2 linked regions of the Xenopus tropicalis genome follow. The protein of the gene in region 2 purifies or fractionates together with the protein of the main gene of each other region. This does not show direct contact. Links are inferred from orthologs where the notes say so. Each region holds a gene or a part of one and is shown on either strand. Other genes may lie near its edges.

Evidence for each region.
Region 1: the proteins of l3mbtl2 (region 2) and cbx3 purify together in Homo sapiens (affinity purification with mass spectrometry; 5 studies listed by BioGRID and IntAct, with this or other methods). This does not show direct contact. The link is inferred for Xenopus tropicalis from reciprocal best matches to the Homo sapiens genes L3MBTL2 and CBX3.

Annotation. Positions count from the first base shown.
Region 1 is NC_030682.2:41,661,057-41,669,109, forward strand, and holds the start of cbx3 (chromobox protein homolog 3), read left to right. Parts: upstream 1-3,706; 5' UTR 3,707-3,752; intron 3,753-4,600; exon of another isoform or gene 4,601-4,624; coding exon of another isoform or gene 4,625-4,674; intron 4,675-7,008; coding exon of another isoform or gene 7,009-7,114; intron 7,115-7,550; exon of another isoform or gene 7,551-7,565; coding exon of another isoform or gene 7,566-7,580; intron 7,581-7,721; coding exon of another isoform or gene 7,722-7,724; coding exon 7,725-7,861; intron 7,862-8,053.
Region 2 is NC_030680.2:115,998,912-116,006,864, reverse strand, and holds part of l3mbtl2 (lethal(3)malignant brain tumor-like protein 2), read left to right. Parts: intron 1-362; coding exon 363-467; intron 468-802; coding exon 803-950; intron 951-1,928; coding exon 1,929-2,011; intron 2,012-4,315; coding exon 4,316-4,550; intron 4,551-7,818; coding exon 7,819-7,884; intron 7,885-7,953. UniProt on the Homo sapiens protein: Putative Polycomb group (PcG) protein. PcG proteins maintain the transcriptionally repressive state of genes, probably via a modification of chromatin, rendering it heritably changed in its expressibility.

The sequences.
Region 1 (8,053 bases), on a different chromosome or scaffold from region 2:
GATTGAAACCTGCCCGGCCTTATGAAAACTGAGCTGCTGGTGCGAAAACTGCCTATAAGGATTTACACATTTAGAAATCAGGACAGGACTTTGTCTTTCCCCCAACCTTACCCTCACCTAGCATTCCTTCAGTGAAGGACCTTCACTATACATTGTGTGCCTATGCCACATCTCCAACTACCGTTGCCCCCTGGCTGGTAAAAATGAAGCCTGATGCCAAAGTTATTAATCCCCCATTGATTTGTTTGCTGCTGAGCCAGCACTACCAAAGCAGAATCTCCATGTTAGCTGGGATGGCAGTGTAACTGTGCTGTACATACTTGTATACACCTACCTGGTCCTCATGACGTGCCATCCAGCACTTCCCACAGCGCAATGCTCTCAGGTCTCCCGCCCTCGTTACCCCGGCAACAGGTACTTCTGGCTCCTGTCCGGTGCAATGTGTAGAGTGTCCGTGCGTACCTGCGCGCATACTTGCCCACACACTTACGTCTGGGGGGGGTGCGCGCAAGGAGCACGTTCAGCACCGGACAGGAGCCAGAAGTACCTGTTGCCGGGGTAACGAGGGCGGGAGACCGAGGAGACGTCTGAGTTATTTCCAAAGGCAAAAATCATTTTAGGCAAAAATTTAATTTTTGTGCGCGCTATTTTAATTTGTGTGCGCGGGTTCGGAAAGTCGTGTGCGCGCGCACACGCGCACAGCTTAGAGGGAACAGTGTTTGGAGCTATAGATTTGAAATAATGTAGGGTCCAATTGTCTGATATACATGCAATATTACATGGGTAACTCCAATATACTGTAGTAATATAAAATGATTTCCTGCAGATAGAGATAAAGCCTCAGTGGTATGTTACTATACAATGAGACAGTCCAGGAGCGGGGTTGCCATCTTTTAATATGCTGCTTAGTGAATTCTGTACTGCACCTTTAGCACCAATCACTAACTTTGTTTATGTCACAATCTTAGGGGCAGATTTATCAAAACACAAGTTCGAATCCCGAATGGGAAAAATTCGGATTGGAAATGAAAATTTCTGAAGATCGCAAATATCACGAAATTGCTTTCGAAAAAATCATATTAGTCACGATAATATCGTATTGGCGATCTGAAAATCACGGAATTTTCATACCAAACCATTGCAAACAGCGGCAGGGCCTTTCCGAATTTTTCACGCGGACACGCAAAAAGTCGCGCAAGCGCGAAAAAACGGCGAGAATACGCTCGGAGCATTTGCATGAACGTTCCAAGCATTCGGGTCTTTGTAAATCTCCCCCATAATGTAGAGGCCCTTAATCTTACTGGACCAACGATGAAAGGTGGTTGGCAGTCCAAGGTCATTATTGGTGCTGAGGATTGCACATGGCTTTCTGCATTATCAGCACCATGGAAATCTTCTAGTTAATTATGCGCATGCATTGGGCTAGAACAACAGATGTGTGCATGTACCAAGCCTCAGAAACTGTTTTTGATAAAGTGATGTCTTTTTGTTTGTCTTAACTTCCCGTTAAAATTAAAAACCTGCTGCATTATTTTAAAGCACCTGTGAGATGGGATAAATCTTATTTTGTGGCTTTCCTTGTCCTTTAATGACATTAGCAGACACAGAATGTATGAATTTGGTGTTATTGGCGCCTTCCATCAGTTTGCTAGGAAGCTTAATTGGTGGTTTGCCACGGTTTTACAGCAAAATTCTGCAGTGCAATTGCACAAAATGTAAATGGTTTACATAAAGGAGAACAAGCTTGTTGCCAACAACAGTGTTAAAAGAAAAAGTGCATTAGTTATATACACCATTGCTTTACAGAAAAGTTGCATGGTTTATTCAGTTAAGAGTCATCTAGGTGACATTTGCATTGAACTTTTTATTCTGCTGGAGCGACCGCTATGCAAGAAGAGTTTGATAAATTGCGCAAAATTCTCTGGCCTCAGTTGCATGCAAAGTCTTTGCTTCAAAGGGCTCTCTTTGCATTTCTGTATAGTTGCACTTTGCACCACTCAGGCCTTCCTGTTCCATACTGAACGCAAATGTAATATTGATGCAGAGGAACCCTGGTGCTGCCATGTACGGACCAGGTGGTAGCTTCAGAGTTCCCTTTAGCACTCTGTGCCGCCTCAGGCATCCATGTTAATGCCGCCCCCTTGCGCTTAGCTTTGTTGCGTCAGTGGGGGGCTGCATTGCTAGTGCGGACAGCCGAAATTCTGATTTAAAAAACAGAAATTCAGCTCCTTAAAGGACAAGGAAAGGCTAAGTCACTTGGGGGTGCCAAAATGTTAGGCACCCCCAAGTGACTTTAATCGCTTACCTTGTACCCCAGGCTGGTGGCCCTGTTAGTAGAAAAGAGCAACGGCCAAGGGTACCTGTAGTGAGCGTTTCCTCCTTCCGGTTTCGTTTTGCAAGTACTACATGACAGGCGCATGCTCAGTAGAGTGAAAAAGCGACTTCTCTGTTAAAGTTCGGCTTTTCACTCTACTGCGCATGCGAAGATGTAAGGAGGAAGCGCTGCATCTACCTCGGGCTGGTGCTGTTCTCTCCGAACAGTGGCACCAGTCAGGGATAAAAGGTAGGCGATTTAAGTAACTTGGGGGTGCCCAACATTTTGGCACCCCCAAGTGACTTTGCCTTTCCTTCTCCTTTAAGTTACCAGGAGTGACTTTTGCTGCCCCTGGTAACTTGCCAGGCTCTGCCGTCTGAGGCGATAGGTGCAGGGGCACAGTTACTGTGAAGCGAGTTTAAAAACTCGCCTCAGGCAGCAGCACCCCCGAAGTTACCAGGGGAGGCAAATAGCCGCTCCTGACAACTTTAGGAGCCAAATTTCTGGTTTTTAAAAGGGAAATTTTGCTGCACTATAGCAGAGATTGCCATGGCACTCTCTACACTAGCGATGTGGCATGCCTGGACCCCCTCCCGTGCTGTAAAGGCATGGTAGGAACCTCCTCAGGTGGCTCAGGGGCAAGAAACACCCCTGGATAGGTGCAGTGCACTTGCATCTAGAGAATAGGTTCCTGACACTCTCATATTAAATGGACAGAATTTTTTTTAGCGCAATTGCATCTAATTTACAGCAAAGTTTGCCTGAAATTGCACTTGGCAGACTGCCCTGCACTTGTAAGCATAAATATTTTCTGTGTAGGTGATGTGACTGCTCAGCTGCCAGTGTATACCTAGAACGTCCAGATGATGAAACGCATACACTGGACAGACAGGGGAGTGCCTTCGTAAAATACACGAAAATGGCGGCCTAGTGAAGTGAAATATGTGTCAATGCCACATATTTCAAGCATTTTTTTTTTTTTTTTATTATTTGCAAACAAAACGACATGTATCAGTCAGACACCTACACGAGGAGCGACAGAGGCGGGCGGAGCCTGGGACCTACCTTTCAACACGTGACTCACTACTATTAAATATATAATTCGGGTTTTCTTTTATCATTAAGACCCTGACTTCATGGGCTCTTCAACTACACCCGTGTAGATTGTACCGGAATTGACATTAACTGCCCTCAAGGCAGGCTGTCCTATTTTGTCAGGGTGCCGCTTCCCTTAGACCCATGGTATTGAAAGAGTTACTGTTCGCGCCAGTAAATTCCCCGCCAGTGTGTTGGTAGGGCCCATTGTTCTGCGCGTCACTCGGGCCCTCCCACTCCTGCGCACATCGGAGCTGCAGGCAGCCGCGGCTTGGAGAGCGTTTCTCGGTGTGAGGGGGACGGAGCAGGAGTCACCGGGTGCTGGTTATCCAAAGAGAGTGAGGTACGGGGATGAGAGAGAGGAATGTTGTACCCGGGGGCATGAGGAGGGAGAGGAGCAGCATGGGAGAAGCACGGCCCGGCAGGGTTGGGGAGGCGGGAAAATTGCTGCTAGTTTGGGAGAGAAGCGGAGGCCTGCTGCAGAGTAGCAGCACAGACCAATGGGTGGGAGGCATTGTGTAAGGGCGGGGAGGCCGTTCTGCAAACATACTGCCTTGTCTTCAATTGCTGCTCACCGCTACCTGGGCTTGTTGGGAGCTGTAGTTCAACGGCAGAAAAAGTCACAACTTTCTATTTCACGTATATATCTTGCCGAATGAAGAGCGGCCCCCTAGCACTTATATGACGCTAGCAGTGTTAGTGGTATTCCGCCAGTATTCCCATGCCCGGTGCAGCGCACAGTAACTCTCACATAGTGCTAGGATGGATACCCCCTGAGTTTCTCTGTATCACTGGGTTTCTTTACAATGAAGCTAATGCTGTTCGGTACGGGGGGTGCGCAGGCGCGAAGGTTCGTGGCCTCTAGGTGGTTAGTAGGGAAAGTAAAGGGTATACAGGGCAATGGCTACCCGGGCTGGACAATCATAGGGAAAGCTCGGTGCCGCTGGTTATAATGGTTTCCAACTGTGCCATGCAGTTTCCCCTGCGACAGTCTAATCTCTAGTTTCCGTGAATGTGTGTTCCTCATCTCCCTCCGGAATACATTCGGTTAATCAATCATGTTGCGGCTCATTCACATGTACGCATGCGTGTTGGAGGGGGTGGGGGATGCTTTTGCTTTCCGGCTTGGGAGGTGAAGCGGCGTAAAACTTTATCTGGATGCACGTTGCGCAGAGCTGCTTTCACGCTAATGTTGTATGGGGGGGCGGGGGGGTTATGGAGTCTCGCACGGCAGTCACAGCAGAAAATTCCTGCCTTTGTTTCTGGTATGGCAGAATTTCGCCTCACGGCAGACCGCTTTCTCATTTCAAGGGACAGTGTATCCCGTGTTTATAGGATTGGCTTAGTGATAAGGGCGTGTGCTGAAAGGAGACTTATCATAACAAATTAAGAATGTACTAGTGAATTATACTTTAAATATAGAAGGATTGTGCTTTAAAATAGTTGTTTCAGACTGATTTATTGAAACATTATACACAGACCCCTCTAGTCCCGCCCATCTGTTCCACTTCCTGCAGGCTGAAATCTCTGGATGTGCAGGGGAACCACTGGCTCTTGGCACACTGCACTGTAGGATAGGAACCTACGCTAGGCGGACCCAATAGGGAACTGAAGTATGTCTTTGCTTGTGAATTCAACTGTTAGGATACTCCCGCCCTTCATTTGAAGCACAGAAGACTGATAGGATCTACATGGAGCTCCAGTAAAGGAGACCTTTTTACAGATAGGATTAATTTTTAGCCCGAAGTGACACCAGCACCATATAGTATTCATAAGTGCCTACAAAATTAGGGGTTTTTCCACTTATCCAATGTCTCATTGAACTTCATTTTTCCCTGTGTTAATTATTTATATTGTTTTATTCTTCTTTGCACTAAACAGGCCAGAATCTTCAGGTAGTCACTTAGAGGTGTTTAGATTAGTCCTTTTTCTGGAGCAATGAATTGCCTTTTGAGTGCTGAACCTGTTCTAATAATCAAATGAAAAACCAGTCTCTTAAGGTTTGGGATAATACCCCATAGTTTCCAGTGAAATTAAATCTCAAGAAAACCTAATTGACAGAGGTTAGGTTTTTATTTTTATCTCTGGAATAAAAATGTGCCAGCCTAGAGCTCTTTAAGTAGCAGTGATACCACAATACTGCACTTTTCCCTGGAATTCCTAGTGTAAACAGACTAGCACAAGCACGGTATACTACCATTGGAAAATTTTTATTAAACTGGACATGTGCAAGTTTGTGCTAGGAATCCTTGGGTAAAGTCTGGCACTTTTTGTGAGAATAGTTGGCCAAAGAAATAATTTTCTAACTTATTGGCACCCTTGTGCTTTAACATTATAACTTACTACATAGCAGGGAGCTAGCACCTAATTGTAAGCATAATACAGTTTGTGTTGGGATAATTTTGATAAGGCTGTGAAAAAGTGGTGCATATTGTCTTTGGAATGGTGCTCACAGTATTAGGGGCTGTTCCTTTACAGAAGAGGAGTGTTTCTATTAGGTTAGGTAGGATCAAGCATAGCAGCTATCAGTGGGCAGTGCTGGCACGGTGTGTACTGTGCTAAGAACTTGTACTGTATGTAATCAGGGAGCAGGAGGCTGGAAATTCTCTCATGTGACCAACAGTCTGAAGTGCCATTTTACACTAATGTTAACAGGAAAGTTTGAAATGGAGAGTACTAATTGCATATACAATTATTGGTTTATATTGATAACTACTGTATTAATAATGCATGTCTTGTAACATATGTTTCTGATATCTAAATGTCTCTTAAAGGGGTAGTGCACCCCAGTGAATAGGGCTTGTGCCAAATGCACTTCTATCTTATTTAAGAAAAACATTCTTGTGATTTCTTGTAGTAAACTGGCACAATCTAAAACAAAGTTGCATTCTACTTCCTGGCTGTATAATTAAGGTCAAAACAGATCTGCGTTCTACTGCTGTTCCTTATCTCTGTCTTACAGGCTGCAGCTGGGCAAGGAATCTTAGTGGGCAACTGATTTGTTTTGACCTTGATTGTAGGGACGGGAACTTTGAATGAAAGGGAACCCAAATGAAAATATCTGCTTTTGTTTTGTGCAAGAAATCTCAATTGTACCAACTAATTGCCCTGCATGTCTTTGCCCTTAAGTTACTTATTCTGCCACAGGCTAGCTGCAGTGAGTCAGACCAGATATAGTCTGTCTGGCTTTAGGCCACAAGGAATTTATTCAACTTAGTGTATGCCTTTTATAGAAAGGCTGCAACTGCAATGGGACCTATATGTAATTCATTAAGCATGCATTTTGTGCATGTTTATCTTAAAGGGGCTGTTTACTTTCCAAACACACTCGAGCTTAGTTTTTTTCTGGTGTACTATGTGAAAACGCTTGAACTGAAATCTGTTTGGAAGGCAAACAGCTTCTTTTTAAAATTGTTTTAGTTATAAACTGATGTGTGGTTAAAAATTTCTACATGCTGTCAGGACCTGATAATGGCTAGACCTTAAAGATGCATTGCATGCTAAAATATGTAACTTTGCTGTTGATGTAGCAGATGTGAGTGTTAACCACCATTTGTACTTGTGAACATTCATTTGTAGAAACTGTTTTTGATTTATAGGTTTGTTTATTTTTGCTGGGCTAATAATCCTAGCAGCCAGGCAGTATTTTGGAAGTCAGAAGTAAAGATGAAGAGTGGAGGACTTCCACAATTAGAAATTAACATGGTAACAATCTGATTTCTAGCTTCTATTTCTAGTATATTATATAGCATATGTGAAGGACTTATGTTGTAAGACAGGCAGTATTGTTTTGAGGGGGGGGGGAGCATCCCTCTCTTTGAGGGCATAAACAATATTACGTGTGCACTTTAGTTTGACATACATACATTATTGTCAAGCAATTATCTGGTTTCACCTTTTAAATAAGTTCTTAAGTGTCCCTTAACTTTAGTGCTCTAATGCTTTCTATGTTAAAGGGAAAATATACCTTATTCTTGACATGTAGAATAAGTAGTATCTGAACTTTCAAATTGTAATAAAATAATATATTTATATTTACAGACATCACCTTTCATTAGGAGGTGATTAATTCTGCAAATTGAAGTCCCTCTGCTTTCCGTAGCGGGTGGTGCACATTCTCTGGGAAGCTGTGGGATTTTCGCAGAATCACTTCACAATGGAACAAAGATGGGTATATTTGCCCTTTAAGCCATTGGTCGAACTATTAAGATGTACTAAATTTTTTTTTTTTTTTTTTTAAATGTACCTTTTGAGTTTCCTTCTTACAAAATAGATATGTATACTTAACCAATATATATTTCTTTTTCCACAGACCATGGGAAAGAAACAGAATGGCAAGGGCAAGAAAGTGGAGGAAGCAGAGCCTGAAGAATTTGTTGTAGAAAAAGTTCTGGACAGACGTGTAGTAAATGGAAAGGTTGAATATTATCTCAAATGGAAAGGTTTCACAGAGTATGTAGTGTTAACATTCAACTTCTACCACAGCATTTTATTGATATTGAACAGTATTTAGAAATTTGATGAAAACATTTTTTAGTATTAGAGATGTTTTTTAAAGGAGAAGGAAAGGCTAAGTCACTTGGGGAAGCCAAAATGTTAACGTTGCTGCTGTTTGCCCCTGAAACTTTCAATAAAGGCATTTTA
Region 2 (7,953 bases):
TGAATAAACCCAATAGGCTTGTTTTTCCTCCAATAAGGATTAATTATATCTTACTTGGAATCATGTACAATGTTCTCTATAATTACAGAGAAAAGGGAAATCATTTTTAAAAATTTGAATTATTTGCTTATAATGGAGTCTATGGGAGATGGCCTTTCCCTAATTCGGAGCTCTCTGGATAACGGGTTTCCGGATAAGGGATCTCATACCTGTACAAGTAGTCAGGGACAGGAGAGGAGGGAAACACTGCTTCCCATTATCATTTATAAATAACCTAAAAACCACCAAAAATCTTTCATTAACATATATTTGAAAGTTGCTTAGAATTGCATTTCTTTTCATTATGCAAAAAACTTTTGTAGATGAGAGTTGCATATCCTGAGGGAACATGGTTTGAAGAGGGAATGAAGCTGGAAGCAGTTGACCCACTAAATCTTGGCAATATCTGTGTTGCTACTGTCTGCAAGGTAAGGAATACACTGATAGTTCAATAAAGAACACAATTCATCATGCTCCATCGAGTGCCCAGAGAACCTAACAAAAATCTGCAGATTATTTTTATGTTATATCAAAATACAATAAAGTACATTTCTTGTGCCCAAATGCTAGAGCACTAAGGTGTGCAAAATTACACTTTATTATTAGAGCCCATGCATAGAACACTGATCCATTATTCAGTTATTGCTTACACCCTCTATCTTTGTACACTGTTTCTTTGCTGGCACCATGTTAGATATAATTACTATTATACTACTACTTATACTTTGATGTTTGTATATTTTCTTTTTGCAATCTGCTACAGATTCTGTTGGATGGATATCTCATGGTGGGCTTTGATAGTGCACCTTCTGCTGATGGCTCAGAGTGGTTTTGTTACCATGCCTCATCACCTTCTATATTTCCTGTAGGATTCTGTCATCAGTATGATATTGAGTTGACACAGCCTCCAGGTAATTTCTATTATTTTAAATGCATTTATATTGCAAGCCACATATTTGTATTCAATAAGGAGGCGAGCAGAAACATGGTGGTTGTAGTGGATGTGATTTACTTAAATTTTGCTAAACATTTACAGAAGTTTAATGATTATATTAAGTAATATTTGCTGTGAACATATATATTCATAGATTGGGAAGCTGGACTTGGATTTCTTATTATTGAGTGCTCTTCTGATATGTACTGGGAGCTGCTATCTTGCTATCTTCCCATTGTTCTGATGATCGGCTGCTGTGAAGGAGACGGAGGAGAAAGATATCACTCCAACTTGCATCTCGGTTATAAAGTGTGTCTAAAGTTTATCAGAGCACAGGTCACATGGCTGTAGCTCCCTGGGAAATGAAGAATATGGCTAGCCCCATGTGAAATTTCAAAATTCAATATAAAATAATGTGTTTTTGAAAAACGGATTTCAATGCAGGATTCTGCTGGAGAGGCTCTATGTATATAAACTATAGTAGCAATTTTGTAGCAAAGACACTAGTTTTACCAGTGTAGGGCAACAATACATTTTAATTACTTTAAAACACTTTCATTTTTGATGTTACTCTTCCTTTAATATAACAGAGGTTAAAATAAAGAACTACTGATCACTTAATAAATGTAAATTCATTGCTGCTGCTAGAGTTACAGCCATATACACTGGGGTGTGCCTTCCATCCAAACCTAATAGTTAATATAAGTATATCCTATATATTGTTGGATTATCCTAAACATCCATTAGGGCCACCATGCACAGATGTCCATAGCCATGTTTAAATTGTTCAACCAGCATTTCAGAAGTCTGGAACTGTTAATAATCACATGTAGGCAAGGACCATTCATAGTGTATAGTTGTCCTGTGACATTCACACCTGACAAAAATTGCAATAATCATCCTTGCTTTTTCCCCCTTCAAATAAAAAGCATGCAATTTTTATTTTGACCTGCAGGCTATACCAAAGAAACATTTTCCTGGGATGAATACTTGGAGAAAACTGGTTCCAAAGCAGCGCCTGCTCGATTATTTAACCATGTAAGTTATGGCTGTTTCTAATACATCACCATATACAGTGGTGTGAAAAACTATTTGCCCACTTCCTGATTTCTTATTCTTTAGCATGTTTGTCACACAAAATGTTTCTGCTCATCAAAAACCGTTAACTATTAGTCAAAGATAACATAATTGAACTCAAAATGCAGTTTTTAAATGAAGGTTTACGTTATTAAAGGAACAGTAACACCAAAAAATGAAAGAGCTTTAAAGTAATAAAAATATAATGTACTGTTGCCCTGCACTGGTAAAACTGGTGTGTTTGCTACAGTAACACTACTATAATTGATATAATAAGCTGCTGTGTAGCCACGGGGGCAGCCATTCAAGCTGGAAAAAAGGAGAAAAGGCACAGGTTACATAGCAGATAACAGATAAGTTCTGTAGAATACAATAGTGTGTTATCTGCTATGTGCCTGTGCCTTTTCTCCTTTGAATGGCTGCCTCCATGGCTACATAGCAGCTTATTTATATAAATTATAGTAGACTTTCTGAAGTAAACACACAACTTTTACCAGTGCAGGGCAGCAGCACATTATATTTTAGTTACTTTTATACACTTTCATTTTTTGGTGTTACTGTCCCTTTAAGGGAGAAAAACTCCAAATCTACATGGCCCTGTGTGAAAAAGTGACTTAACTGTGGTTTATCACACCCCCAGTTCAATTTCTGTAGTCACCCCCAGGCCTGATTACTGCCACACCTGTTTCAATCAAGAAATCACTTAAATAGGAGCTACCTGACACAGAAAAGTAGACCAAAAGCACCTCAAAAGCTAGACATCATGCCAAGATCCAAAGAAATTGAGGAACAAATGAGAACAAAAGTAATTGAGATCTATCAGTCTGGTAAAGGTTATAAAGCCATTTCTAAAGCTTTGGGACTCCAGCGAACCACAGTGAGAGCCATTATCCACAAATGGCAAAAACATGGAACATTTGTGAACCTTCCCAGGAGTGGCCGGCCGACCAAAATTACCCCAAGAGCGCAGAGACAACTCATCCGAGAGGCCACAAAAGACCCCAGGACAACTTCTAAAGAACTGCAGGCCTCACTTGCCTCAATTAAGGTCAGTGTTCACGACTCCACCATAAGAAAGAGACTGGGCAAAAACGGCCTGCATGGCAGATTTCCAAGGCGCAAACCACTTTTAAGCAAAAAGAACATTAAGGCTCGTCTCAATTTTGCTAAAAAACATCTCAATGATTGCCAAGACTTTTGGGAAAATACCTTGTGGACCGACGAGACAAAAGTTGAACTCTTTGGAAGGTGCGTGTCATTTACGTGTCGTTACATCTGGCGTAAAAGTAACACAGCATTTCAGAAAAAGAACATCATACCAACAGTAAAATATGGTGGTGGTAGTGTGATGGTCTGGGGTTGTTTTGCTGCTTCAGGACCTGGAAGGCTTGCTGTGATAGATGGAACCATGAATTCTACTGTCTACCAAAAAATCCTGAAGGAGAATGTCCGGCCATCTGTTCGTCAACTCAAGCTGAATCGATCTTGGGTGCTGCAGCAGGACAATGACCCAAAACACACCAGCAAATCCACCTCTGAATGGCTGAAGAAAAACAAAATGAAGACTTTGGAGTGCCCTAGTCAAAGTCCTGACCTGAATCCTATTGAGATGTTGTGGCATGACCTTAAAAAGACGGTTCATGCTAGAAAACCCTCAAATAAAGCTGAATTACAACAATTCTGCAAAGATGAGTGGGCCAAAATTCCTCCAGAGCACTGTAAAAGACTCGTTGCAAGTTATCGCAAACACTTGATTGCAGTTATTGCTGCTAAGGGTGGCCCAACCAGTTATTAGGTTCAGGGGGCAATTACTTTTTCACACAGGGCCATGTAGGTTTGGATTTTTTTTCTCCCTTAACAATAAAAACCCTCATTTAAAAACTGCATTTCGTGTTTACTTGTGTTATCTTTGACTAATAGTTAAATGTGTTTGATGAGCAGAAACATTTAAGTGTGACAAACATGCAAAAGAATAAGAAATCAGGAAGGGGGCAAATAGTTTTTCACACCACTGTACCTCCCTTTATAGGAAACACCCTATTCCCTTATTAGGTATAGGACCAGGGCAAATGTTGCTCTTGTTACTAAACTTGATACTATGCAGCCACTAGCTTTGCATCTCAATTTCTGTTATCAGATCATCCCTTTAAATAAGGGACACTTAAGAAAAATACATTTTAAATCGATGGTAATTTGATCCATTTATATAATAGAGAGTCCAATATTTTTAATAATTCATATAATTTTTTTCTCTGTTCTGGCCAGGACTGTCCTAACCATGGCTTTGAGCCAGGTATGAAACTGGAAGCAGTGGATCTAATGGAACCACGTCTTATCTGTGTGGCAACTATTACTCGAGTGGTCCAACGTCTGCTCAGAATTAACTTTGATGGGTGGGATGTTGAATATGACCAGTGGGTAGACTGTGAATCCCCTGACATTTATCCTGTAGGCTGGTGTGAACTGCTTGGATACCAACTTCAACCCCCTGTGGAAGATGGTATGAAAGTCATTATATTGGTATTTTTTGTTTTTAAATGCACTTGTTTTTAGTATAATCTTTGCTCTGCCATCTCTCCTCTACTTTGTGCAGGTCAGTTCCATGTCAAAGTAAGTGATGTAAAGTAATAACAAGGAATTGCTGGCATTTCTTGTGCCACAAATATTAGTTTTTTTCAAGGTTACTACATACGCTTCCTGGGAACACATGCCCAGGATATTATTAAAGGTCCCAGGTCAAGAACAAAATTTCAATTTTTTTAGAGGAAAAATTATGATAGAAAGTTATAGATACATACAGTGGCTTGCAAAAGTATTCGGCCCCCTTGAACTTTTCCACATTTTGTCACATTACAGCCACAAACATGAATCAATTTTATTGGAATTCCACGTGAAAGACCAATACAAAGTGGTGTACACGTGAGAAGTGGAACGAAAATCATACATGATTCCAAACATTTTTTACAAATAAATAACTGCAAAGTGGGGTGTGTGTAATTATTCAGCCCCTTGAGTCAATACTTTGTAGAACCACCTTTTGCTGCAATTACAGCTGCCAGTCTTTTACCAGCTTTGCACATCTAGAGACTGAAATCCTTGCCCATTCTTCTTTGCAAAACAGCTCCAGCTCAGTCAGATTAGATGGACAGCGTTTGTGAACAGCAGTTTTCAGATCTTGCCACAGATTCTCGATTGGATTTAGATCTGGACTTTGACTGGGCCATTCTAACACATGGCTATGTTTTGTTTTAACCCATTCCATTGTTGCCCTGGCTTTATGTTTAGGGTCGTTGTCCTGCTGGAAGGTGAACCTCCGCCCCAGTCTCAAGTCTTTTGCAGACTCCAAGAGGTTTTCTTCCAAGATTGCCCTGTATTTGGCTCCATCCATCTTCCCATCAACTCTGACCAGCTTCCCTGTCCCTGCTGAAGAGAAGCACCCCCAGAGCATGATGCTGCCACCACCATATTTGACAGTGGGGATGGTGTGTTCAGAGTGATGTGCAGTGTTAGTTTTCCGCCACACATAGCGTTTTGCATTTTGGCCAAAAAAGTTCCATTTTGGTCTCATCTGACCAGAGCACCTTCTTCCACATGTTTGCTGTATCCCCCACTTGGCTTGTGGCAAACTGCAAACGGGACTTCTTATGGTTTTCTGTTAACAATGGCTTTCTTCTTGCCACTCTTCCATAAAGGCCAACTTTGTGCAGTGCACGACTAATAGTTGTCCTATGGACAGATTCCCCCACCTGAGCTGTAGATCTCTGCAGCTCGTCCAGAGTCACCATGGGCCTCTTGGCTGCATTTCTGATCAGCGCTCTCCTTGTTCGGCCTGTGAGTTTAGGTGGACGGCCTTGTCTTGGTAGGTTTACAGTTGTGCCATACTCCTTCCATTTCTGAATGATCGCTTGAACATTGCTCCGTGGGATGTTCAAGGCTTTGGAAATCTTTTTGTAGCCTAAGCCTGCTTTAAATTTCTCAATAACTTTATCCCTGACCTGTCTGGTGTGTTCTTTGGACTTCATGGTGTTGTTGCTCCCAATATTCTCTTAGACAACCTCTGAGGCCATCACAGAGCAGCTGTATTTGTATGTGTGTGATCCATTATCCAGAGGAAACCAGTTATCCAGAAACTTCCAAATTTTGCAAAGGCCATCTCCCATAGGTTCATATTAATCAAATATTTTTCCTTATTGTCTGTGATAATAAAACAGTACCTTGTACTTGATCCCCACTAATATATCATTAAAGGAGAAGGAAAAGTAAAAACAAAGTAAAATTTATCAGAAAGGTCTATGTAAATACAGCCATAAGCACTCACAGAAACGCTGCACTCTGTCAAAAGAAACACAGGATTTCTTGTCTTCTTTTGTGAACATATGTTCTTCAGTGTCAGACTTCCCTCTCTCACAATAATTCTTCAGGGCACATGCACGAGTTTGCTCCTCTCTCCCTCTTTTCCTCCTTTCCCTACCATGAGAATTTGCTCCCTCTCGAATCTTTGTAATCAGAGCTACCGGCAGCGAAAGCTGCAGCATTGAAGCTACTGAGACCAAGCTAAAATGGCAGCTGCTATCTTAAACAAACAGAGGGAGCTTCTAAGGTTGGTTTACTCAGGTATGGTACAGCTCTCTACAGAATAAATATAGCATTCTAGCATAAACTAATTTGGCTTATCTTTTGACAGTAAAATACCTTTCCTTCTTCTTATTGAAGGCAAAACAATCCTGTTGGGTTTTAATTAATGTGTATATGATTTTTTTTTAGTTCTAGATCTGGAAGACCACAATAAATCATATGTTTGATGAAGCTCTAATGGCTTCTAGTTATTGCTGGGTGGACTGCACCTCAGTGAAATGGCTGTTTCCATTTAGATTCTGATTCTGCATTGCAAGGACTTATTTTTAACTGTTTTGGCAGGAGATCCCAAACTAAGTACAGTAGGGCAGTGAAATCATTATCCACCAACATCAAAAACAGGAGAAAAACAAAAAAAAAAGTCAATGAAAAAAAAATACGTTAAGAACAATCTACTTTATTTAAGCAACACTTTTATGTCCTTAGGTGTTTCATGCTCCATGAGCACTTAGGCCAGTAATTGAAATCATTACACTAAATTCCTGTGGTTGGGTCTGACTCAGTAAAGCATGATCATTAATGGCTGTACAAAAATATATAAAGGGTAATGCAGACACTAACACAGTTAAAGTGGATACAGGAATATAAATAAAGCCATTATTACTCCAGCCTATTAGAGGTTTGCTCCCCTGCAAACCTTTATGCGCAGCAGACCATTGTGGCCACCAATAGGGTTAGCACCAACACTGTATTTTGCAGGGCTTTGGAATCAGTTCATAAATCCTTTAACTCCAACTGCTCAGTTAATGATACTTCCAACTCCAGGTACCCAAATTTACTTCTAACTCCACAGCTCTGTATCCCTAGGCACAGGCCCTTGAGTGCCTATATGGTAAATACGGCCCTGGCTAGAGCATGTCCCTACAGAGATAATTATGGGCGGGGGAAGATTTAAACATCTCAACAGTGTTTCTTCTTGTGTTTAAATACAAAATTGCAGAAAGGGAGTCTAAGCACCCTATTGATTCCTATTCCTACACAGGAATGAACCAGTATCGCTGTAAGTTAGTTTCCAGTAATAAGATAGTTACTTAGTAAAAATTGGTAATACCACGTTATAAAGCATTCTCATGTTTTGCTTATCTCACTTTCCCACCCCACTGCAATGATACACTGTTCTCTCTCACATGTAGAACCAAAAGAAGAGCCAAAGCCTAAGGAAGTCAAGAAAAAGAAGAAAGCTGCATTTGGAAAGAGAAGTAAGAGTTCCTCTATCAAACATTTATTTTCGTAGCCAGTTGTGCCAAGGTCATTTGAAATTCTGTTCC